Anolis sagrei: one gene and its partners. The protein of the gene in region 1 interacts with the protein of each later gene in a pairwise test. Links are inferred from orthologs where the notes say so. Each region holds a gene or a part of one and is shown in the gene's direction. Other genes may lie near its edges.

Evidence for each region.
Region 2: the proteins of TRIP10 (region 1) and SH3BP1 interact in binary tests that used the Homo sapiens proteins (3 or more experiments, as listed by UniProt). The two-hybrid records come from large-scale screens. The link is inferred for Anolis sagrei from reciprocal best matches to the Homo sapiens genes TRIP10 and SH3BP1.
Region 3: the proteins of TRIP10 (region 1) and ARHGAP12 interact in binary tests that used the Homo sapiens proteins (3 or more experiments, as listed by UniProt). The two-hybrid records come from large-scale screens. The link is inferred for Anolis sagrei from reciprocal best matches to the Homo sapiens genes TRIP10 and ARHGAP12.

What each region holds. Positions count from the first base shown.
Region 1 is NC_090022.1:171,013,150-171,021,698, forward strand, and holds the start of TRIP10 (cdc42-interacting protein 4), read left to right. Parts: upstream 1-5,438; 5' UTR 5,439-5,564; coding exon 5,565-5,588; intron 5,589-8,549. UniProt on the Homo sapiens protein: Required for translocation of GLUT4 to the plasma membrane in response to insulin signaling. Required to coordinate membrane tubulation with reorganization of the actin cytoskeleton during endocytosis.
Region 2 is NC_090025.1:165,017,147-165,025,745, reverse strand, and holds the start of SH3BP1 (SH3 domain-binding protein 1), read left to right. Parts: upstream 1-4,968; 5' UTR 4,969-5,309; coding exon 5,310-5,371; intron 5,372-8,599. UniProt on the Homo sapiens protein: GTPase activating protein (GAP) which specifically converts GTP-bound Rho-type GTPases including RAC1 and CDC42 in their inactive GDP-bound form.
Region 3 is NC_090026.1:112,231,361-112,239,606, reverse strand, and holds the start of ARHGAP12 (rho GTPase-activating protein 12), read left to right. Parts: upstream 1-5,133; 5' UTR 5,134-5,217; intron 5,218-8,246. UniProt on the Homo sapiens protein: GTPase activator for the Rho-type GTPases by converting them to an inactive GDP-bound state.

The sequences.
Region 1 (8,549 bases):
CTCATGAAACTTTCAGGCTTACATATAACACCTAAAATTAAATACCTAGGCATCTATATAACAGCTAAAAACTCTCAACTCTTAAAAAATAACTATGAAGTGAAATGGAGGGAAATAAAGAAAGATCTGAAAGACTGGCAGTACATGAAACTATCATTACTGGGTAGAATTTCGGTAGTAAAATCCAACATCCTTCCCAAGATGTTGCACTTGTTTCAAAACCTCCCCATAATTAGAAAGAAGCAGTTATTTACGGATTGGAACAAGGACATCTCAAGGTTTGTGTGGAATAACAAAAAACCTAGAATTAACATGACAAACCTGACAGATGAAAGAAGAAGAGGAGGATTGGGACTGCCAAATTTAAAATTATATTTTGAAGCAAGCTGCTTAGAGTGGATCAAAGATTGGATATTATTAAAGAACAAAAAATTACTAACTCTAGAAGGCCACGACCTAAGAACTGGGTGGCATGCCTACTTATGGCACAACAAAGCAAAAGTGGAAAAGAACTTTCGTAACCACTTTATCCGATCGGCTCTACTAAAGGTCTGGGACCAATACAAAGATAGGATGTACCCCAAGACACCGCTCTGGGTCTCCCCTCTCGAGGCTCACCAAAGGAGAGAACTGGGATGGGGCTTATGGCCCACATATAAAGATCTACTACTCAGGGAAAGAAAGGAAATTAGGATTAAGACTCAGGATGAACTAAAAACGCAGTATAACAACATCACCTGGTTACAACATTGGCAGTTGAAAGAACACTTTAAAAAAGACAACCAACTAGGCTTTATGGAAAACCCGACAGCTTGGGATAGGCTCCTGGACTCCCCTAAAAAATATATCACAAAAGCATACAAGATATTACTAGAATGGTCTACGGAGGGAGAACGCGTTAAAGAATATATGATAAACTGGGCTAGATTAATAGGGCGATCCATCTCTTTAGAGGAGTGGAGTCTAGTATGGAACAGTAAAACAAACTATTCCTATTCCTACTATCTGAAAGAACACTGGGTGAAAATGACGCATCAGTGGTATTTAACCCCAGCTAAGATAGCGAAGTTTTCCAAACAGATGTGCTATACATGTTGGAAATGTGGAGAACAGAAAGGGACTTATAGACACATGTGGTGGTCCTGTGTGAGAATTAACAACTTTTGGAAACTAATACACGAGAAGTGCCAACAAATAATAAAGAAAAATATCCCTTTTAGACCGGAATGCTTCCTGTTAGGACTAACAGGAGGGATGGGGGACAAAGGGGTAGAAAAATTGTTCATCCACCTAATAACGGCAGCCCGCTTATTACTGGCCAAGGTCTGGAGACAAAAGACATTACCAACGGAGGAAGAGTGGATAGAGAAAATACTAGATATAATGAACGCAGACCATCTAACGTATATCCTGTCAGCCTCACGCAACATGCCTATATCTCCAACGAACTGGACCCCGGTCAGAGAATGGCTTCGGGGAAAAAAGATAAATCTGCTAACAGTTTAATATCTACAAATAAAAACAAGACACAGGACTTATACAGGAGACTACGAGGAATTGAAATAGCTTAGAAATAGCAACAACCACAGGAAAGTTAAGCGATAGAAAATATAATGGAAATGTATAGAACTCTTTCGATATGCGAGAAGAAACATTTATGTATGCCTAAGTAAGAAGTTATAGTAAGATAAGATAGGGCTCCTTAGGACAAAGAAAACATACAAGACTAATGTACGAATAGCAAGAGAGAAATTTTATACAGAAATGCAGTAGTAGAGAGAGATGGAGGTCCAATAGTGGCAGCAAGCCACTTGTTTTTAAATATGTTTGTATTGTATCGTATGTTTTTTGTACTAGAGGATCTATGTTAGGTAGTTAGCTAGATAGGATCAATGTGGATTATGAATGTCATAGTGCGGTTGAATGACCTGTATTGTTTTCTATTGTCTTTCTATGTTCATTTAAAAAATTTAATAAAAAATTAATTAAAAAAAAAAAAAAAAAAAGACTGCAGACGACACTAAATTGGGAGGGATAGCCAATACTCCAGAGGACAGGAGCAGAATTCAAAACCATCTTGACAGATTAGAGAGATGATTGGCCAAAACTAACAAAATGAAGTTCAACAGTGACAAATGCAAGATACTCCACTTTGGAAGGCAAAACGAAATGCAAAGATACAGAATGGGGGACGATGCCTGGCTCGAGAGCAGTATGTGTGAAAAAGATCTTGGAGTCCTCGTGGACAACAAGTTAAACATGAGCCAACAATGTGATGTGGCGGCAAAAAAAGCCAATGGGATTTTGGCCTGCATCAATAGGAGCATAGTGTCTAGATATAGGGAAGTCATGCAACCTCTCTATTCTGCTTTGGTTAGGCCACACCTGGAATATTGTGTCCAATTCTGGGCAACACAATTCAAGAGAGATATTGACAAGCTGGAATGTGTCCAGAGGAGGGCAACTAAAATGATCAAGGGTCTGGAGAACCAGCCCTATGAGGAGCGGCTTAAGGAGCTGGGCATGTTTAGCCTGAAGAAGAGAAGGATGAAAAGAGATATGATAGCCATGTATAAATATGTGAGAGGAAGCCACAGGGAGGAGGGAGCAAGCTTGTTTACTGCTTCCTTGGAGACTAGGACGTGAAACAATGGCTTCAAACTACAAGAAAGGAGATTCCATGTGAACATGAGGAAGAACCTTCTGACTGCGAGAGCCATTCAGCAGTGGAACTCTCTGCCCCGGAGTGTGGTGGAGGTTCCTTCTCTGGAAGCTTTTAAACAGAGGCTGGATGGCCATCTGTCAGGGATGATTTGAATGCAATATTCCTGCTTCTTGGCAGGGGGTTGGACTGGGTGGCCCATGAGGTCTCTTCCAACTCTTTGATTCTATGATTCTGTGATTCTAACAGGAATAGGGTACAGGGAGCGCACAACTCCTCTGTTGCACCAGTTCCACTGTCTGCCAATTAGCTTCTGAGCACAATTCAAAGTGCTGGTTTTAATCTACAAAACCCTATATGGCTCCGGCCCAGTTTACCTATCTGAACATATTCTCCCCTATGAATCATCAAGGCTGTTCAGATCTTCTGGAGGGGCCCTGCTCTCAGTCCCACCACCCTCGCAGTTGCGTCTGGTGGGAATGAGAGACAGGGCCTTTTATGGGGTGGCCCCTGGGCTATGAAACTCTCTCCCGATTGAGATCAGTTCTGCTCCCTCCCTCCTGACCTTCCCTGTGGCTTCCTCTCACATATTTATATATGGCTATCATATCTCCTCTCAGCCTTCTCTTCTTCAGGCTAAACATGCCCAACTCCTTAAGCTGCTCCTCATAGGGCTTGTTCTCCAGATCCTTGATCATTTTAGTCGCCCTCCTCATGATGATTAGAGTAAAGTAATTTGGGGTCATTTCAGTGCAGTCAACCACATATGTGGACTGAGTTGGACATGATTTTATCTTGATGAACTGACTTTTATGTATTTTAGTCTACATGTGTTTAATTTATTGTTGACTAGCTGTCCCCTGCCACGTGTTGCTGTGGCCCAGTCTGGAAAATAAAGTAATGTGAAAGTGTTGGTTTCTAATATATTTAAGCTTGTGGGTAAACAGTATTTCTTGTTGTTTCTTTGTCAATGTTGATGTGGAGATTGTCTGGTTTGCCTGCTCTGGAACATGCAACATATAATTGCCCTTCTTTAGAGGTCACTTCCAAATTATAATACTATATTTGAGTGTATGTGAATCATATATATCTATCAATATCTGTGGCTGGATGGCTCTTTGTCAGGAGAGCTTTTCTTGCCCTGGTGATGGGAATTGGACTGGGTGGCCTTAAGTATGGGGGTTCTGTGTGGGAGGTTTGCTCCAATTCTCTCATTGGTGGGGTTCAGCATGCTCTCTGATTGTAGGTGAACTATAAATCACAGTAACTACAACTCCCAAAAGTGAAGGTCTATTTCTCACAAACTCCATCTGTGTTCATATTTGGGCATATGGAATATTCGTGCCAAGTTTGGTCCAGATCCATCATTGTTTGAGTCCACAGTGCTCTCTGGATGTGGGTGAACTATAATTCCCAAACTCAAGGTCAATGTCCACCAAACCTTTCCAGTTTTTTCTGTTGGTCATGGGAGTCTTGTGTGCTAAGTTTGGCCCAATTCCATTATTGGTGGAGTTCAGAATGCTCTTTGATTGTAGGTAAACTATAAATCCCAGCAACTACAACTCCCAAATGTCAAGGTCTATTCCCTCATATTTGGGCATATGGAATATTCGTGCCAAGTTTGGTCCAGATCCATCAATGTTTGAGTCCACAGTACTCTCTGGATGTGGGTGAACTATAATTCCCAAACTCAAGGTCAATGTCCACCAAACCTTTCCAGTTTTTTCTGTTGGTCATGGGAGTCTTGTGTGTCAAGTTTGGTTCAATTCCATCGTTGGTGGGATTCAGAAGGCTCTTTGATTGCTGGTGAACTATAAATCCCAGCAACTACAACTCCCAAATGACAAAATCAATTTTTTTTAGTGAAGGATATGCATTGGGTTGTTAGGTGTCTTGTGTCCAAATATGGTGTCAATTCATCCAGTGGTTTTTGAGTTATGTTAATCCCACAAACGAACATTACATTTTTATTTATATAGGTGAACTATAAATCCCAGCAACGACAATTCCCAAATGACGAAATCAATTTTTTTTGAGTGAAGGACATAAATTGGACTCTTAGGTGTCTTGTGTCCAAATTTGGTGACAATTCCCCCAGTGGTTTTTGAGTTCTGATGGCAGCACGAACTAACATTATATTTTTATTTATATAGAAGATTGGTTGTGGGGGGGGGGGGGGCAAAATACTGTTTGCTTACCGTTGAAAATTACCTCTGCTTGCTTGACATGCCTTCTTCCTCTTAGCACACTTCTCTTTTTCGCCCTCTATTTGTGTCTCTTTGAATTCCACAGCACTGTTGGTCACAGCTGACCTCCAGTTGGAATGCTCAAGGGCCAGGTCTTCCCAGATATAGAAACCTCCCTTGCCTAGTTTCCAGCAAACCTCACAACCTCTGAGGATGCCTGCCATAGATGTGGGCGAAACGTCAGGAGAGAATGCTTCTGGAAGGTGGCAAGAGAGCCCGGAAAACTGACAACAACCCAGTGATTCTGGTCATGAATAGCTCCCCCCACCACCACCTTTCAACAGGCTTTGAAGCCCAAGGATCCAGGCTCCCCCAAAGAGACTGTTGATTCCCAATGAGCCCAAGTGGTGGTGCTGAGCTTTGAAAGGAAGAGAGAAGGAGAGTTTGGAAGTTGCCTCCCCAAGGACGGAGCCCCCTCCATTGGCATGGCTCTCCTCTTGGGAAAGGGAAGGGAGGGAGGGAGAGATTGAGGGAGGGCCTCCCCTTGGCCAGGCAAGGCAGCCCCGGCTCGGGCCTGCCTGCGCCTTTAAGGCCGCCGCTCGGGGCGTGTCCGGGGCAGGCGGCGGAGCTGGTGGGGCCCCGGGAGTGAGTGGGACTCCTTCTCGGGAGGGCGGTGGAAGCGGCTGGGGCTTCGGGAGGACGCGGCTGCTGCCAGCATGGACTGGGGCACGGAGCTATGGGTAAGCTTCCTTTGGGCGGGCTCCCTGCTCCCCTGCTCTGGGGGGGGCTCTGCGCCCAGCGCCCTCGCCCCGCTCCCCCCCCGCCACCCCCAGACTTTGGCCCTCTTCCCTCGGCTTCCTTCCAGCCACTCTGCCTCGCCTCCCTCGCCCAGGTTCTTGAGCAAGCCCTCGCCAGGCGCCCTGCTCTTGCCTTCAAAGCTTTGGCTTTTCCCAGGCACGGATTTGTTCGAGTTCCCTTCCCCACTCCGCCCCAAATGCTCCTCTTCCTCCCCGGTCCTTGGCTCGCCCTCTTCTCTCTCTCCCTCGCTCTCTTTCCTTTCCCCCTTCTCTCCCTTCCTTCCCGCTTTCCTTCCCTCCCTCTTCCCTTCCTTCCTTACCTCCTTCCTTCCTTTTTTCTTTCTTTCCTTCCTTCCTCACCTCCTTCCTTCCTTCTTTCCTTTTCTTCCTTCCTTCCTTCTTTCCTTCCTCTCTCATTCCTTCTCCTTCACTTTCCTTCCTCCTCCTTCCTTCCTTCCTTCTTTCTTTCCTTCCTCTCTCCCTCTACTTCATCTTCCTTCCTCACCCTTCCCTTCCTTCCTTTTTTCCTTTCTTCTTTGCCTTCCTTCCTCTCTCCCTCCCTTCTTTCCTTCCTTCTTTCTTTCTTTCCTTCCTCTCTCCCTCCCCCTCTCCTTCCTCACCCTTCCTCCCTTTTTTCCTTTCTTCTTTTCCTTCCTTCCTTCCTCTCTCCCTCCCTTCTTTCCTTCCTTCCTTCTTTCTTTCCTTCCTCTCTTCCTCCCCCTCTCCTTCACCTTCCTTCCTCACCTTTCCTTCCTTCCTTCCTTCCTTCCTTCCTTCCTTCCTTCCTTGCCTGCCTGCCTGCCTGCCTGCCTGCCTTCCTGACTTCCTCTCTCCCTCCCTCTCTCCTTCACCTTCCTTCCTCACTTCCTTCCCTTCCTTCCTTTTTTCCTTTCTTCTTTGGCTTCCTTCCTCTCTCCTTCCCGCCTCCTTCCCTCCTTTTCTTTCTTTCCTTCCTCTTTCCCTCCCCCTCTCCTTCACCTTCCTTCCTCACTTCGTTCCCTTCCTTCCTGTTTTCCTTTCTTCTTTGCCCTCCTTCCTTCCTCTCTCCTTCCCTTCTCCCTCCCTTCTTTCTTTCCTTCCTCTCTCCCTCTCCCTCTCCTTCACCTTCCTTCCTCACCCTTCCTTCCTTTCCTTCTTTCCTTTCTTCTTTGCCTGCCTGCCTTCCTTCCTTCCTCTCTTCCTCCCTTCTCCCTTCTTGCCTTCCTTCCTGCCTTCTTTCCTTCCTCTCTTCCCCCCTCTCTTTCACCTTCCTTCCTCACTTCCTTCCCTTCCTTCTTTCCTTTCTTCTTTGCCTTCCTTTCCTTCCTTTCTTCTTCCTCCTCCCCTTCCTCACTCTTTCACCTTCCTTCCTCACCTCCTTTCCTTCCTTCCTTCCTTCCTTCCTTCCTTCCTTCCTTCCTTCCTTCCTTCTGTCCTTCATTCTTTCCTTCTTTCTTCCTTCCTCTCTTCCTCCCTCCACCTTCCTTCCCTCTTTCCTTCTTCTTTTCCTCCTTCCTTCCCTTCCTTCTCTCCCTTCCTTCCTTCCCTTCTTCCCTCCCTCCCTCCCTCCCTTCCTGCAGAATGAATGCACTTTCACACACATTCAACTGCCATGGTTCCATGCTACGGGATCAAGAGAGGTGTAGTTTGATGAGGAATCAGCACACTTTGTCAGCGAAGGCTGAAGACCTGGTTGAACTGCAACTCCCGGGGTTCTGTAGCCTTGAGCCAGTTTGGCACCACTTGAAAGGCCATTGCTGCGTGCTATGGAATCATGGGAGTTGAGATTTATCAAGTATTTTGCCTTCTCTACCATACTGGTGCCTCACCAAAGGACACCTCTTCAGATGGAGCTATGGCAGTTCAAAGTGGTGCCAAACTGCATCCGTTCTACAGTGTAGGAGCTTCTCCTGAATGCATTTCTGTCCTTGGCTCGCTGTCTTCTCTCTCCTTCCTTTCTCTGCCCCCCATGTGCCTTTTTTCTTTTCGAGAGGGCATAGGTGGGCTCCACTTCCAATTCGTGGCCTTCCCACCTCACTTGATGGGATATGCAATCTGCTTGTAAAGGGAATATGTGTATTATTTATTTATTTATATTATTATTATTATTATTATTATTTTAATGTCATTTTGATAATGTTGTTGTTGTCTCTTGTATATGCTTTGATTTCATTGCTGTATTATGTTGTCCGGGCTTGGCCCCATGTAAGCCGCTCCGAGTCCACATCGGGGAGATTTATTTTATTTATTTATCGTGTCAGGCAACACGAGTATTACATTTTTGACAGAACAAACAAATATACAAAAGACAGAGTTTGCAAGCTTGGTAGTTGTTTAAATGTCCTTTGACCAGTATCTGGCCACTTGGAGTGCTTCTGGTGTTACCGCAAGAAGGTCCTCCATTGTGCATGTGGCAGGGCTCAGGTTGCATTGCAGCAGGTGGTCTGTAGTTTGCTCTTCTCCACACTCGCACGTTGTGGATTCCACTTTGTAGCCCCATTTCTTAAGGTTGGCTCTGCATCTCATGGTGCCAGAGCACAGTTTGTTCAGCGCCTTTCAAGTCGGCCAGTTTTCTGTGTTTCCAGGGGTGAGTCTCTCATTGTGTATCAGCCATTGATTGAGGCTCTGGGTTTGAGCCTGCCACTTTTGGACTCTCGCTTGCTGAGGTGTTCGAGCAAGTGTTTTTGTAGATCTTAGAAAACTATTTCTTGATTTAAGTTGTTGGCGTGCTGGCTGATGCCCAAACAAGGGAAGAGCTGGAGATGTCTCTGCCTTGGTCCTTTCACTATTGGCTGCTACTTCCCGACGGATGTCAGGTGGTGTAATACCGGCTAAGCAGTGTAATTTCTCCAGTGGTGTAGGGCGCAGACACCCCGTGATAATGCGGCATGTCTCATTAAGATCCACATCCACTGGTTTAGTGTG
Region 2 (8,599 bases), on another chromosome or scaffold:
GAACTGAACCACTGAAACTGGGCTCTACAAAGCAATGGATACTCCACCACAGAATTAGAAGACCGAGAACAAGCCACGAGAGTAAAGACAAAAGATCCACCCAGAGAAAAAGTATTCTCACATACATCAAGGGAACCACTGACCGCATAGGGAAGCTGATGAGGAAACACAACTTACAAACAATCTACAGACCCACCAAGAAAATCCAACAAATGCTACATTCAGCAAAGGACAAGAGGGATCCTCTCACCTCTGCAGGAGTCCAACGTATATCATGCAGCTGTGGATAAGTCTACATAGGGACCACCAAACACGAATCAAGGAACATGAAAGGCACTCAGACTAATTCAACCTGAGAAGTCATCCATAGCAGAGCACCTGATGAAAACCTGGACAAAGCATATTATTTGACAACACAAAAATGCTGCACCACTCTAACAACCACCATGTCAGACTACCCAGAGAAGTCACTGAAATCCACAAGCATGTGGACAATTTCAACAGAAAGGAGGAAACCATGAAAATGAACAAAATCTTTTTAAATTCATTTTTATTAAAGAAGATTGGACAAGACAAACATAAAAGTAAACAACAATAACAATAGTTGAGCGTTGTGTAGTTCCCTCTATATGTGTTAGGTCCATACATATGTATATGTGTATGGTTTCGCATATAGTATACATTAATATATCTATATATTCACCACAGTGTCAAACCTACATATAAAAAAAACCAAATAACATTCATCCACATCAGTACAATGCAATACAATACATATATTATATAGATTTCTTCTTAACTTCCTGGAAAATGAACAAAATCTGATTACCAGTATTATTATTTTTTAAAAAAACTATCTTCCTACTATCATTCAGACCCAATAATTGTTTTGCTGTATCAGTACCCTTAATTCCTGAAGAATTTAGGGCCAGAAGGAAAAAGGTAGCCAATCACTCTTTCCAGCGCACCCCTTCTATGCCATTTGGCTACCATGGTGAACAGGTCCTCAATGGATTGGTAAATTTTCAAAAGTTACCCAAGCTGGTGGTCATTTGCCACATCTTACAACAGTGTGTTTCTTGCTTATTCTACGTTCTATGATAGTTTCTCTGCTGCATTTCTCTGTTATTACTGTGAACCACAGCTTTAAAAAGTTACTGCTTGTACAACTCCTAGAATTCACAACCTCTGAGGATGCCTGCCACAGATGCAGGTGAAATGTCAGGAGGGAATGCTTCTAGAACATAGCCATATAGCCTGAAAAACCTGAGGGCTGTGCTTCAAACTTTTTCCAAGCTCATTTCTACTGCTAATCAGCTTTTTTTCTTAGATGACGCTGAAGGAGTGAGGGTGGCTCTTTCAGCACATATTTATAATTCCACACATTGAACAGAACACTCCGGAGATGGAAAAGAGGGCTGTTGAATGTGCCATTGTTTGGCAGGGTAAGCATGGAATTATGAACAGCATTCTAAGAGCCAGTTGTGATTTGAGCACTGGACTAGGACACTGGGAACCCAGGGTTTGTATCCACACTCAGTCATGGAAACCTACTGGGTGATCTTGGGCAAGTCACACTCTCTAAGCCTCAAAGGAAGCAAAGGCAAATCCGCTATGAAAAAAATCTGCCCAAAAAAAACCTATTTATTGTCAAAGGCTTTCATGGCCAGAATCACTGGGTTGCTGTGAGTTTTCCGGGCTATACTGCCATATTCCAGAAGCACTCTCCCCTAACATTTCACCTACATCTATGGCAGGCATCCTCAGAGGTTGTGAGATCTGTGGGAAACTAGGAAAATGGGGTTTATATATCTGTAGAATGTCCAGGGTGGGAGAAAGAACTCTTGTCTGTTCAAGGAAACCCTATTGGCTTTGTGATCTTTGTGTTGTTTATTCGTTTAGTTGCTTCCGACTCTTGGTGACCTCATGGACCAGCCCACACCAGAGCTCCCTGTCAGCTGTCCCCACCACCAGCTCCTTCAGAGTCAAGCCAGTCACTTCAAGGATACCATCCATCCTTCTTGCCCTTGGTTGGCCCCTCGTCCTTTTTCCTTCCATTTTCCCCAGCATCATTGTCTTCTTCAAGCTTTCCTGTCTTCTCATGATGTGGTCAAAGTACTTCATCTTTGCCTCTAATATCCTTCCCTCCAGTGAGCAGTCAGGCTTTATTTCCTGAAGTATGGACTGGTTGGATCTTCTCGCGGTCCAAGGCACTCTCAGAATTTTCCTCCATCACCACAGTTCAAAAAGTGTCTATCTTCCTTCACTCAGCCTTCCTTATGGTTCAGCTTTCGAATCCACAGGTTACTATGGGGAATACCATTGCTTTAACTATGTGGATCTTCGTTGCCAGCGTGATGTCTCTACTCTTCACTATCTCAATGAGATTGGTCATTGCTTTGGGATCATCATGTGAGAAATCACTTCAAGGCATGCAACAACAGCAATTCTAGATTTAGTATTTTGTGCTCTGCAAGCTATTACAAACTTGATAAAGTATTTTTTTTAAAGCAAGGAAAAATAATCAGGGTTCTGGTCCTTATGAGGACAGAACTGAAAGTATAACTGGCAGTGTGCCATGCAAACTCAGTAGCATAGTGAGGACTGAGCAAGATAAAACAGTGACCAGATAAGGAAGATTTCCGTACTCAGACCTCATTGTATATCTGCATTTCCTTAATGGAGAATTTTGTTTTGGTGCAGTTTTTTGTTCAAAACAGAGGATTAACAGCCTTAGAAACTGTGTGGGCAGGATGCAATTAGAGATCTTGGGAGAGTACAGGACATGAGTCTGTATAATTGTATGTTGTGTTGTTTGATGATCAGTGTTGTCACACACAAGATTAATACAAGGAAGAGACCTGGCCCAAAAGAAAGAGGGTATCCAGAGTCTACCACCCATGGTTCAGAAATTCAGTTTTAAAAATCCCAAAAGAATACACTGATTTTGCTATATATATATATAGAGAGAGAGAGAGAGAGAGAGCGCAAAATCAGCGTATTCTTTTGGGAATATATGTATGTATACACACACACACACTTGGGTATCCGGTGTTGTCCTGGTTGTTAGAAGAAGTTATTTCTGCATTTTACAAAATGTATAAGGTTGTGGATGAAGTACAACTCACATCATGCCAGGTTAACCCCCTGAAACTCCATCATCAGTGGGGTTCGGAGTGCTCTGATTGCAGGTAAACTATACATCTGAGTACCTACAACTCCCAAATGTCAAGGCCAAGTCCACCCCAGAGCCACCAGTATTCAAATGTGGGCATATTGAGTATTTTGTGCGCTAAGTTAGGTTCAGGGCCATTGTTGGTGGAGTCCAGAGTGCTCTTGGATTGCAGGTGAACTATAAATACTAGTACCCATTATGTGTATAGATAAATAATTTTACTACACAGTTGTATGCATTTGGATTTGAGCATTATACTAAATGTCCTTTGACTAGGAGCTGGCCACTTGGAGTGCCTCTGGTATCGCGGTGAGAAGGTCCTCCATTGTGCATGTGGCAGGGCTCAGATTGCATTGCAGTAGGTGGTCTGTGGTTTCTCTTCACCACACTTGCATGTCATGGACTCCATTTTGTAGACCCATTTCTTAAGGTTGGCTCTGCATCTTGTGGTGCCAGAGTGCAACCTGTTCAGCGCCTTCCAGGTTGTCCCCTCTTCTGTGTGCCCAGGAGGGAGTTTCTCATTTGGTCTCATTGTTGTTGTTTATTCATTCAGTCTCTTCCGACTCTTCGTGACCACATGGACCACCCCTTGCCAGAGCTGCCTGTCGGCCATCACCACCCACAGCTCCTTCGGAGTCAAGCCAGTTACTTCAAGGATACCATCCATCCATCTTGGCCTTGGTCAGCCCCTCTTTCTTTTTCCTTCCATTTTCCCCAGCATCATTGTCTCCTCTAAGCTTTCCTGTCATCTCAGCCTCCTTGCTTCAGCATTATAAGAGGGTTTTACGAGACTAGTTGCTCTCGTTGTCACATGGTATTGGGGACCACTGGTGGTCCGCAGACCACAGGTTGGGAACCACTGGTCTACACTGTAGCGTGAATGGAATTTGACCTCACTTTAGTGTACCCCAGTTACTTACTTACTCAGGCGATCCCTCGTAGCTCGAGGATGATTGTCTTTGAGTTGTGGTGTCTTGGCAATGGGTCTGTAAGTGGCTGTGGAGCCCTATTATTGATCTGCATGTTCTCCTGCAGTGAGGACAACAGTTTCCAGACGGCAAGCAGTCCCAGTCAGGGTTGGCTTGACTGCCTTCCTCTTGTCACATTCCTCCCTTTCACCCTCCATTCATGCCTCTTTGAATTCCGCAGCACTGCTGGTCACAGCTGACCTCCAGTTAGAGCACTCAAGAGCCAGGGCTCCCCTGTTCTCATTGTCTATTCCACTGTTTTTGAGGTTGGCTTTAAGCCCATCTTTAAATCTCTTTTCCTGTCCACCAACATTCCATTTGTGGCCCAGAACTATGGAATCCTGGGAGTTGCAGTTTGATGAAGCTCCAGCACTCTTTGGCAGAGAAGCCTGAAGACCTTGTAAAACTCCAACTCCCTGGATTCCATAGCCCCTGAGCCATGCCAGTGCAAGCGGGGTTGAAACTGCATTAATTCTCCAGCGTAGATGCACTCCTAGCTGCCGTCTGGGGAGTCATACAACCCAAGCCCAGATATGTCAGCCTGCCAATGCTGAGAAAGAGAGAAAACAAAAGTAGGAAGCAGTAAAATACTACAACCACCAGCGCTTGCAGAAGACGTCGCTTGTTCTGCCTGAGCTGCGTGTTTGCTGTCATAATATTTCCCCTTTAAGGCTCGGCCGAAGTTATTTATACTCCAAACAAAACCAAAAAAGAAGGTCTTCGATGGGGTGGTGAGAGGAACTGAGAGGAGCAGCGGGCAGAGACCTTCTTACCTGATCAGAAACAGAGAGAGAGAGAGAGAGAGAGAAAGGTGGCGGTGAGTAGAGGAGAGGGGGAGAAGGGAAGAGCAAGGAGGTGGGGAAAGGAGGAGTAGGAAGGAAGGAAGAAAGAAAGAGAAGTGGAGGGGAAGAGAAGGAAGTCGACCTGGGAGGAGGAGGAGGAGGGGAGGCAGAGGGAGGGAAACCGCAAAGAGAGAGGGAAAGGAAGGCCAGATAATGAGAAGGAAGCAAACCTGTTGAGGAGGAGGAGGAGGAGGAGGAGAGGAGGGATGGCGGCAAGAGGCGCTGCTGGCGGGCCTTAAAGGAGGGCTGGGGGAAGAAGTGGGCTGGAGCCCTTGCCGGCCGGCTGGATCCTGGTCTTGGGACGGTTCTCCTCTCTCCTTCAAGATGATGAAGAAACAGTTCAACTGGATGCGGCAGCAGCTCAGCCACCCGGGCATCGGCGGACGGTAAGAAGAAGCGCCTTGGCTTTCAGACATTCCCCAAGTTGCTCTTTTGGACTTGTGGCCTCAGCACACTCGCAAACAAATCCGCTTACAGTCCAGTTTCTGCGGCCTGCACAATTCTGTGGTTTGTAGTTTAAGGAGGAGCCTTTAACAGCCTCACTAAACTACAAAGCCCGGAATTCTGCAAGAGGCAGAAACCGCATTTTAAGTGGATTTTTTTTCCTCTAGGTGTGATTAAAAGACTCCCAGAAACCGCTACAAGTTTGTCCAATGGTCAGAGATTCTGGGAGCTGAAGCCCAAAATCGCTGAAAGAACAAAGTTTTGAAGCAGCACAGCCCTGCTTCCTCTTAGGGTGCATCTCTTGGGCCCTCCAGGTGTTTTGGACTTCAACTCCCACCATTCCTAACAGCCTCAGGCCCCTTCCTTTCCCCCCTCAGCTGCATAACCTTAAGACTTCAACTCCCACTATTCCTAACAGCTTCAGGCCCCTTCCTTTTCCTCCTCAGCCGCATAACCTTAAGACTTCAACTCCCACCATTCCTAACAGCCTCAGGCCCCTTCCTTTTCCTCCTCAACCGCTTAAGCACAAAGTTTTGAAGCAGCTTAAGCAGTACAGCCCTGCTTCCTCTTAGGGTGCATCTCTTGGGCCCTCCAAGTGTTTTGGACTTCAACTCCCTAACAACCTCGGGCCCTTTCCTTTTCCCCTTCAGTCGCTTAAGGATGTTAGGAATGGTGGGAGTTGAAGTCCAAAGCACCTGGAAGTCCCAAGTTTGCCCATGCCTCATCTACACTGTCGATTCAGAAGCTATGAAGTTTGATGCCACTTTAACTGCTTTGGCTCAATGCTATGGGATTCTGGGAGTTTCTAGTTTGGTGAGGCACCATCAAGCTTTAACAGCGAAGGCTCAAGACCATGTAAAATTACAACTAACAGGATTCTATGACATTTCCCAGTGTACCAACCTTAGAGGGAAATGACTAGAATAGGCTAATAGAGAAAAATAGAAATGAATGTATCAGCCAATCTGGTTGTTGCCTCCTGCAGAATTCTGGGGTTTGTAGTTTAGGGATGAGCCTTTAATAGCCTCACTAAACTACAAACCCCAAAATTCTGCAGGAGGCAGAAACTGGATTTTAAGTGGATTTTTTCGCTAATGTGATGAAGAGACTCCCAGAAACTGCAGTAAGTTTGTCCGATGGTCAGAAATTCTGGGAGTTGAACTCCAAAACCACAGAAAGAACAAAGCAGCAGAAGCAATACAGCCCTGCTTCTTTTGGACTTTAACTCCCAGCATTCCTAACAGCCTCAGGCCCTTTCCTTATTCCCCTCAGCCACTTAATCTTAAGGGCCTGCGGCTGTTAGGAATGGTAGGAATTGAATTCCAAAACACCTGGAGGGCCCATGCCTCATCCACACTGTCAGTTCAAAAGCTATGGAGTTTGACACCACTTTAACTGCTGTGGCTCAATGCTGTGGGATTCTGGGAGTTTGTAGTTTGGTGAGGTACCAGCATGCTTTGGCAGAGAAGGCTCAAGACCTTGTTAAATTTACAAACAATAATAGTTAATAGAAATGTACTACATGCACAGATAACAGGAATGAAGAATATAGAAAAAGAAAAATTGGTTGACAAATTAATAGCGTGTGCACAAATTGTTTTACTGAGGGTTTGGAAAGATGAAGCAAAATGGACACTGGCTAAGTATATAGTTAATATGTTAAATGTGGAAATAACCAATTGCAAATGGAGAAACATAGATAAAATTGAAAAGGTTACAACAACTAAGAGGATGTGGGAACCAGTTAGGAATTATTAGAGAATGTGCTAAGATATGGAGTAGAAAATTAAGACTGAGATTGATATTTCAAATGTAACTTCTGTAGTTTGCTGTATAAATTGCATGTAGAAGGAGGGGAAGGTGGGAGTGGGATAAAACAATAAAACATCAATAAAAATAAATATTATTAATCAAAAGACCTTGTAAAATTACAACCTGCAGGATTCTGTGACATTTAATATGGAATTGAATGTTTTTAAAGGTTTAATATGTTTTAATTTTAATCTAATCTAATTTAATTTTTTTGAATTGTATGTGTTTAAGGCATTGAATAATTGCCTCTATATAAGCCACCTTGAGGTCCCTTCAAGGTAGAGAAAGGTAGGGTATAAATAAAGTAAATAAATAAATACATTTACCAGTATAGATGTAGCTTTAGAGAGAAAAGTATAGAACAGGGGTCCTCAAACTACGGCCCGTGGGCCGGATATGGCCCTTCAAGGTCATTTACCTGGCCCACGCTCAGGGTCAACCTAAACTACTTGAAAGCACACAACAACAACAACAATCCTATTTCATCAGCCAAAAGCAGGTCCACAGTTCCCACTGAAATACTAATAAGTTTATATTTGTTAAAATTGTTCTTCATTTTAATTATTGTTTTGTTTTTAAGTGTTTTTTGCACTACAAATAAGATATGTGCAGTGTGCATAGGAATTCATTCATGTTTTTCCAAATTATAATCCGGCCCTCCAACAGTTTGAGGGACTGTGACCTGGCCCTCTGTTAAAAAAGTTTGAGGACCCCTGGTATAGAATATGGCAACCCTCTCAGCCAAGCTTGGAAGCATCCACTCCTTGGTCTGGATTTCTCTGCAGTGTCCAAGTGGGTGGTCTCTGCTTTCCAAGTTGCAACCAGAAAGCTATAGGAAGTACTGCTTCATGGCTTCCAGACCAGCAATCATTCCATGGAAGTGGATTTCATTAGAGTTTCTGAACAGCCTCCACTCTCCAGACCAGCCATGGGCAAACTACAGTCCTCCAGGTGTTATGGCCTTCCATAAACCACATCAAGGGCTAAAGTTTGTTCATGCCTGCTCCTGGCCATCTCCTTTCCATGCCACTACCCCTTAATATAGTTCCTCATGTTGTGGTGACCTCCAACCATAAAATTATTTCCGTTGATACTTCATAACTGTAATTTTGCTACTGTTATGAATCGTAATGTAAATATCTGCTATGAAGGATGTATTTTCATTCACTGGACCAAATTTGGCAGAAATACCCGATACACCCAAATTTGAATACTGGTGGGGTTGGGATTGATTTTTGTCATTTGGAAGTTGTAGTTGCTGGGCTTTATAGTTCATCTTCAATCAAAGAGCATTCTGAACTCCACCAGCGATGGAATTGAAACAATCTTGGCACACAGAATTTCCATGACCAACAGAC
Region 3 (8,246 bases), on another chromosome or scaffold:
AGCTTTCTAACCAAGGTGAAAGAAGGAAGTGCAAAAGCTGGGTTGCAGTTAAATATATATAAAAAACCAAGATTATGGCAACCAGAGTGATTGATAACTGTTAAATAGAGGGAGAAAATGTGGAGGCAGTAACAGCCTTTTGTATTTCTAGGTGCAAAGATTACTGCATATGTAGACTGCAGCCAGGAAATCAGAAGACGTTTACTTCTTGGGAGGAGAGCAATGACCAATTTTGATAAAATAATGCTAGGGAAAATGGAAGGAAAAAGGAAGAAGGGCTGACAAAGGACAAGAAGGAGGGATGGTATTCTTGAAGTCACTGACTTGACATTGAATGAGCTGGGGGTGGCAACGGCCAACAGGGAGCTCTGGCGTGGGCTGGTCCATGAGGTCACAAAGAGTCAGAAGCGACTGACTGAATGAATAAACAACAACAGTATGGAATACATCGCACCACGTTAAAATGGTGAATGTGGCTCTTAATGAGACATGCTGCGTTATCACACTATGTTTACATCCCACACTACTGGAGAAATTATACTGTTTAGCTGGCATTGCACCACCTGACATCAATCAGGAAGTAGCAGCCAATAATGAAAGGACGAAGGTAGTGACATCTCTGGTCCATCCTCTGTTCAGATATCAGCGAAGATGCCGACAGCTGAAATCAAGAAACAGCTTCCTAAGATCGAAAGAGATACTCACAGGAACACCTCAGCAAGCTAGAGTCCAAAAGTAGCAGGTTAAAACCCTGCACCTTAATCAGTGGTTGAGATCAGTGAGAAACTCCCTCCTGGGCACACAGAAGATTGGGCGACCTGGAAGGCACTGAACAGACTGCTCTCTAGTATCACGAGGTACAGAGCCAATCTTAAGAAATGGCGCTACAAAGTGGAGCCCACGATATGTGAGCGTGGAGAAGAGCAAACCACAGACCACTTACCATAATGCATCTTAAGCCCTGCCACATGCACAATGGAGGACCTTCTAGCAGCAACACCAGAGGCACTCCAAGTGGCCAGCTACTGGTCAAAGGACATTTAATCAACTACCAAGCTTGCAAACTTTGCGTTTTGTTTGTTTGTTTGTTAAAAAATGCAATGCAACTGTTTGGTCTGCCCCTGACACGATAAATAAATAAAATGCTAAGGAATGGTAAGACATGTAGTTTCACAAGGTCCTTAGCCTTCTCTGCCAAAGAGTGGTGGATGCCTCACCAAACTAAACTCCCATTATTTCCTAGTATTGAATAGTGGTGTCAAACTGCATTGATTCTACAGTGTAGATCAGTGTTTCTCAACCTTCCTAATGCCTCGACCCCTTAATACAGTTCCTCATGTTGTGGTGACCCCCAACCATAAAATTATTTGCGTTGCTACTTCATAACTGTCATTTTGCTAATGTTATGAATCGTCATGTAAATATCTGATATGCAGGATGTATTTACATTCACTGGACCAAATCTGGCACAAATACCTGATACGCCTAAATTTGAATACTAGTGGAGTTGGGGGAAAATAGACCTTGACACTTGGGAGTTGTAGTTGATGGGATTTATCATTCACCTACATTCAAAAGCATTCTGAACCTCACCAATGATAGAACTGAGCCAAACATCCCACACAGAACCCCCCATGACCAACAGAAAATACTGTATTTTTTGATGGTCTTTGGTGACCCCTGTGACACTGGTGTAGATGAATCTGTGCCATCATTTATATACAGTAGATCATACTATTATATAGATAAGAGTCAATCTTCTGTTCCTAATGAGGATATGCTCCAAATTAGATAGCTAGGAAGTATAAGAGGAAGCTGATTTATATCAGATTTATATCAGACATTCCATATGTCGGAGGAGGAGAAGGTGAAGGAGAAAGCTCTCCAAGGTTTCAGACAGGAGCTTTTGCAGTTCAGCCAAACCTTTCCAGACCTGGACCTTTTGCAACAAACATCCCAAACGATCATTGAATTTCTATAAAGAGGCATTGAAAGATCAAGGGAAGGCTATGGAGAAATTTATATCTTTTTCTATAGCTTGGATATAGTCCAGAATAAGGACTGATTTAAACTGGCTGCATCAAGCCTCAACGTGTTCAAGATTGTGAGCCAATATAAATCCCCCCTATGAGCCAGTTTGGATTACATCAAGAGGAGATCCTCTTGATCCTTCACATTTGGAGAGGACGTGCGGGGGACAAAAGTTTTGCACAGGAAGGCATCCGGCACATGAATTTCTCACTTGCGGCTTAATGTGGCAAAACACCCCCACACATGCATCAGCTCAGGGAAAATCAGGCAGCGTTCTTCTGACTCACTTGCAAAGGAATTAAATTATACTATTCACTTTATATCAGCACAAAAGAGGCAAATCACAGCACCCTGGATACTGAGAAAATAGTCGTGGTCTATTAAAAAGCCACACACAAGGAGGTTATCCCTTTCAAGTAAAACTTTAGGAACATATTTATCACAACATGGGCTTTGTAGACTGTGAATTGGAACTCGGGGCCCCCCAATTTCACTAATCTACCTTTGAAGTTTGTTTAAAATCAGTGACAGATTGAAGTGTTCTGAAAAGCAAAGTGATGCTAAAGTGAGAGATTCAGTAGGACGTTGCCAGCTATCCCTAGAGCTTTGGGATAATGGTTTCTTATCACACAAAAGGTGTTGATTGTCATATCTACTGTTAGATTCTTGGTATCTGTGAGTTTCCTGAACCAATGGCGCGCATTAATCATGTAATTATTACTGTCTGTATAGTTTGTATGTAATTTTTCTCTGGTCTTGCTTTCTATTCTTTATGCATTTGGTGTCTGTATGTTCTGTACATATGTGTACACACACATATACAAAGACACACATGTGTATATATACACACACGCACACATATATACACATATGTATAGGTAAAGGCTAGTTGTGTTAGACTCTGGGGGATGATGCTCACCTCCATTTCTAAGCTGAAGAGCCGGTGTTGCCCGTAGACACCCCCAAGGTCATGTGGCTGGCATGACTGCATGGAGCACTGTTACCTTCCTGCTGGAGCTCCCCTGAGGCAGGCCGTTCTTCTGTTTCCGCCATCTGCTTCTCTGGCCCTGGAACTCAACAAAAAAGCTCCTGTTTTGTAGCAGGTTTCCTATGAGGCGGGTGAGGTGATAGTCCTTTGTGATGTTATACATTTTTCTCAGGAGGAGGCAGTGGTTCACAGTATCATAAGCTGCTGACAGGTCTATGAAGACAGCTCCTGTGATCTGCTGCCTTTCAAAGCCATCTTCTATGTGCTGAGTCAGGTTCAGCACTTGCGATGTGCAGCTTTTGCCTTTCCTGAAGCCAGCTTGCTGTGGAATCAGACAGGGGTCTATTTTTTCCAGAAGCTCTCTGAAGCTCTAGGTGCTCTTACTGCCTATTACAGGGAAAACCAACTAATCCCTAATCCATCTAAAACACAGACATGTGCCTTTCACCTTAAGAACAGACAAGCATCCCGAGCTCTGAGGATTACCTGGGAAGGAGTCCCACTGGAGAATTGCAGCGCACCCAAATACTTGGGAGTCACTCTGGACCGTGCTCTGACCTACAAAAAGCACTGCCTGAACATCAAGCAAAAAGTGGACGCTAGAAACAATATCATACGCAAGCTGACTCGCACAACCTGGGGATCACAACCAGGCACAGTGAAGACATCTGCCCTTGTGCTATGCTACTCTGCTGCTGAGTACGCATGCCCAGTGTGGAACACATCTCACCACGCTAAAATAGTAGATGTGGCTCTTAATGAGACATGCCACATTATCACGGGGTGTCTGCGCCCTACACCACTGGAGAAACTACACTGCTTAGCCGGTATTGCACCACCTGACATCCGCCAGGAAGTAGCAGCCAATAGTGAAAGGACCAAGGCAGAGACATCTCCAGCTCATTCCTTGTTTGGGTATCAGCCAGCACGTCAACGACTTAAATCAAGAAATAGTTTTCTAAGATCTACAGAGACACTTGCGGGAACACCTCAGCAAGTGAGAGTCCAAAAGTGGCAGGTTCAAACCCAGCACCTCAATCTGTGGGCGATACCAAATCAGAGACTCCCCCTGAGCACACAGAAGACTGGGCGACTTGGAAGGCGCTGAACAGACTGCACTCTGGCACCACGAATTGCAGAGCCAATCTTAAGAAATAGGGCTACAAAGTGGAATCCACGACATGCGAGTGTGGAGAAGAGCAAACCACCGACCACCTGCTGCAATGCACCCTGAGCCCTGCCACATGCAAAATGGAGGACCTTCTTGCGGCAACACCAGAGGCACTCCAAGTGGCCAGATACTGGTCAAAGGACATTTAATCAACTACCAAGTTTGCAAAATTTGTGGGTTTTTTTATCTGCTTGTTTGTTTTGTTCTGTTAGAAATGCAATATAATGGTATGGTTGCTGATGACATGATAAATAAATAAAGCATAATACAATATCAGTATTATATATTACTATATTGTACTATACCATTATATTGTAATATTATTAGCAATATTACATGTAATATAAAATATATAATTATATCATATTATTATTACATTGAATTGCATTACAATATAATAATTGTATATATAATATATTATACTACATTATGTTATTATATCAGATGCACCTTGAGTGTTTTTTGTTTGTTTGTTTAACCTAACAATACAGGGCTTCTATGACATTACAGTGTGACAGTACATTTGGTTCCGTTTTAATTGCCATGGCAACATCCCAATGGGCTTCTGGGGTGTGTAGTTTCCCCAAGGGCTTTCAATGCCTGTTGCCATGGCCGTTGCTATGACAGAGGAATGTGAATAACCCTCCTCCCCCCCTTTCAGAGGTAGTGGGAGGGCTTAGAAGTATTTTAAGTGTGTGGTTTCCCCAAACTGGTTGTGTGTACTTTGTACTTTTGCAGAGATCCCTTTTTCCCGCCTTCTTACCTTGCTTCTCCCTCGTCACGTGACGTGGACCTCTGCGGCCTCTCACCCGCACGCGTGCGCGCGCCGTGCCCTGAGGCTGACTCTGGGCGAGAGAAGGGGAGGCGTGGCTTCGTGGAGGGGAGGCGTGGCTCCGGGGGGCGTGGCTTTGGGGCTGGGTCGCGAGGAAGGAGGCAGCGAAGGGGGCGTGGCCCGAGGAGAAGGAAGCAAGCGAGCAAGGAAGCAGGCAGGCAGCGCGAGCTGGGCGCAGAAGGAGACGTTTCCTTGGTGAGAGGGGAGAGGGCGGTTGGAAGGAGGGGGGGGGGCCTTGAGGCGAAAAGGCGGTTTCTAGGGGGCCCTTCCTTCCTTCTATTTATTTATCTGGAGAGCTTGGGGAGAGGGAGGGGGCTCTGCCAAGCTACACACATAACCCACACATAGGGAGACCCCCCCCCAAAACACACACACACACAACACTACAGACGTGGAGTCCCTACTCACACATAGTATATACATATACATACACCTATGGATATACAAACAACAGCCACACACAAGCTGTTCAACTCAAGACATAGAGACCCCCCCCCCCCAAGTAACACACATACACAACACTACAGGCATGGAGTCCCTACTCACACATATTAAATACATATACACACACCTATGGATATACAAACAACAGCCACACACAAGCCTATACACAGCTTCAATTCAAGACATAAATAGAGACCCCCTCCCCAAAACACACATACACAACATTACAGACATGGAGTCCCTACTCACACATATTATATACATATGCATACACCTATGGATATACAAACAACAGCCACACACAAGCCCATACACAGCTTCAATGCAAGACATAAATAGAGACACCCCCCAAAACACACATACACAACATTATGGATATACAAACAACAGAGCTTCAACTCAAGACATAAATAGAGACACCCCCCAAAACACACATACACAACACTATGGATATACTAACAACAGCCACACACAAGCCCATACACAGCTTCAACTCTAGACATAAATAGAGATCCCCCCCAAATAACACACATACACAACACTACAGACATGGAATCCTTACTCACACATATTATATACATATACACACACCTATGGATATACAAACAACAGCCACACACAAGCCCATACAAAGCTTCAACTCAAGACATAAATAGAGATCCCCCCCCCCAAATAACACACATACACAACACTACAGACATGGAGTCCCTACTCACACATATTAAATACATATACACACACCTATGGATATACAAATAGCCACACACAAGCCCATACACAGCTTCAACTCAAGACATAAATAGAAACACCCTCAAAAATAACACACATACACAACACTACAGACATGGAGTTCCTACTCACACATATTATATACATACACCTATGGATATACAAACAACAGCCACACACATAGCCCATACACAGCTTCAATTCAAGACATAAATAGAAACACCCTCAAAAATAACACACATACACAACACTACAGACATGGAGTCCCTACTCACACATATTATATACATACACCTATGGATATACAAACAACAGCCATACACATAGCCCATACACAGCTTCAATTCAAGACATAAATAGAGACATCCCCCAAAACACACATACACAACATTATGGATATACAAACAACACAGCTTCAACTCAAGACATAAATAGAGACACCCCCCAAAACACACATACACAACACTATGGATATACTAACAACAGACACACACAAGCCCATACACAGTTTCAACTCAAGACATAAATAGAGACACCCCCCCAAAACACACATACACAACACTATGGATATACTAACAGCCACACACAAGCCCATACACAGCTTCAACTCAAGACATGAATAGAGACCCCCCAAAAAAGAAATAACACACACAACACTACAGACATGGAGTCCCTACTCACACATTATATACCTATACATACACTTATGGATATACAAACAACAGCCACACACAAGCCTATACACAGTTTCAACTCAAGACATAAATAGAGACCCCCCCCCCCAAATAACACACATACACAACACTACAGACATGGAGTCCCTACTCACATATATTATATACATATGCATACCCCTATGGATATACAAATACACACAAGCCCATACACAGCTTCAACTCAAGACATAAATAGAGACACCCCTCAAAAAATAACACACATACACAACACTACAGACATGGAGTCCCTACTCACACATATTATATACATATGCATACACCTATGGATATACAAACAACAGCCACACACAAGCCCATACACAGCTTCAACTCAAGACATAGGGACACCCCCCAAAACACACATACACAACATTACAGACATGGAGTCCCTACTCACACATATTATATACATGTACATACACCTATGGATATACAAATAGCCACACACCAGCCCATACACAGCTTCAACTCAAGACATAAATAGAGACCCCCCCCCCCCAAACCAACAACACACAGAGCCTTAACTCACACACATCTACCCGCATACTGAGCCACTAAACCAAGCATGGGCAAACTTGGGCCCTTCAGGTGTTTTGGACTTCAACTCCCACATTAGGAATTGTGGGAGTTGAAGTCCAAAATACGTGGAAGGCCCAAGTTTGCTCCATGCCTGCTCTACTACACCAAACACACACAGTCCTTACATACTCTACTCATGCACACATGGACCCCCATACACATGACATAACACGACACACAAAACCTTGACTCATACACATCTACCTGCATACTGAGCCCTTAAACCAATCATGGGCAAACTTGGGCTGTCCAGATGTTTTGGACTTCAACTCCCACAATTCCTAATGTTAGGAATTGTCGGAGCTGAAGTCCAAACACCTGGAGGGCCCAAGTCTGCTCATGCCTGCCCTAAACGCACACAGATACCTTACACACACATACACAAAGAGAACAACAACACATAGGCAGCCCCCTACACACACAGAGCCTTTACTTACACACACACATATAGAGCACCCCTGCACACAAACTATGGAGACCCTACACAGAAACATGTCCCCCAACTCTTCTCCAGTCACTTTCATTCGCTGAGAATCTGACAGGTGTCCTTCTCAGCTTTGCTTGCCCCACATGAACAAGCAGTGTAGTACTCCAAGGTTAAGGAAACCACTGCCACACACACTTTTTCCAATTTCATCCTTATCAAGATAAGTTGCCATCTCCATTCTAGCTACAGGTGGAATAACGAAAGGTGCGAGAGGCGAGGCTCAAACCCACTCTGGTTAACAATACCGGAAGCTCGCCAGGCAGATTTAA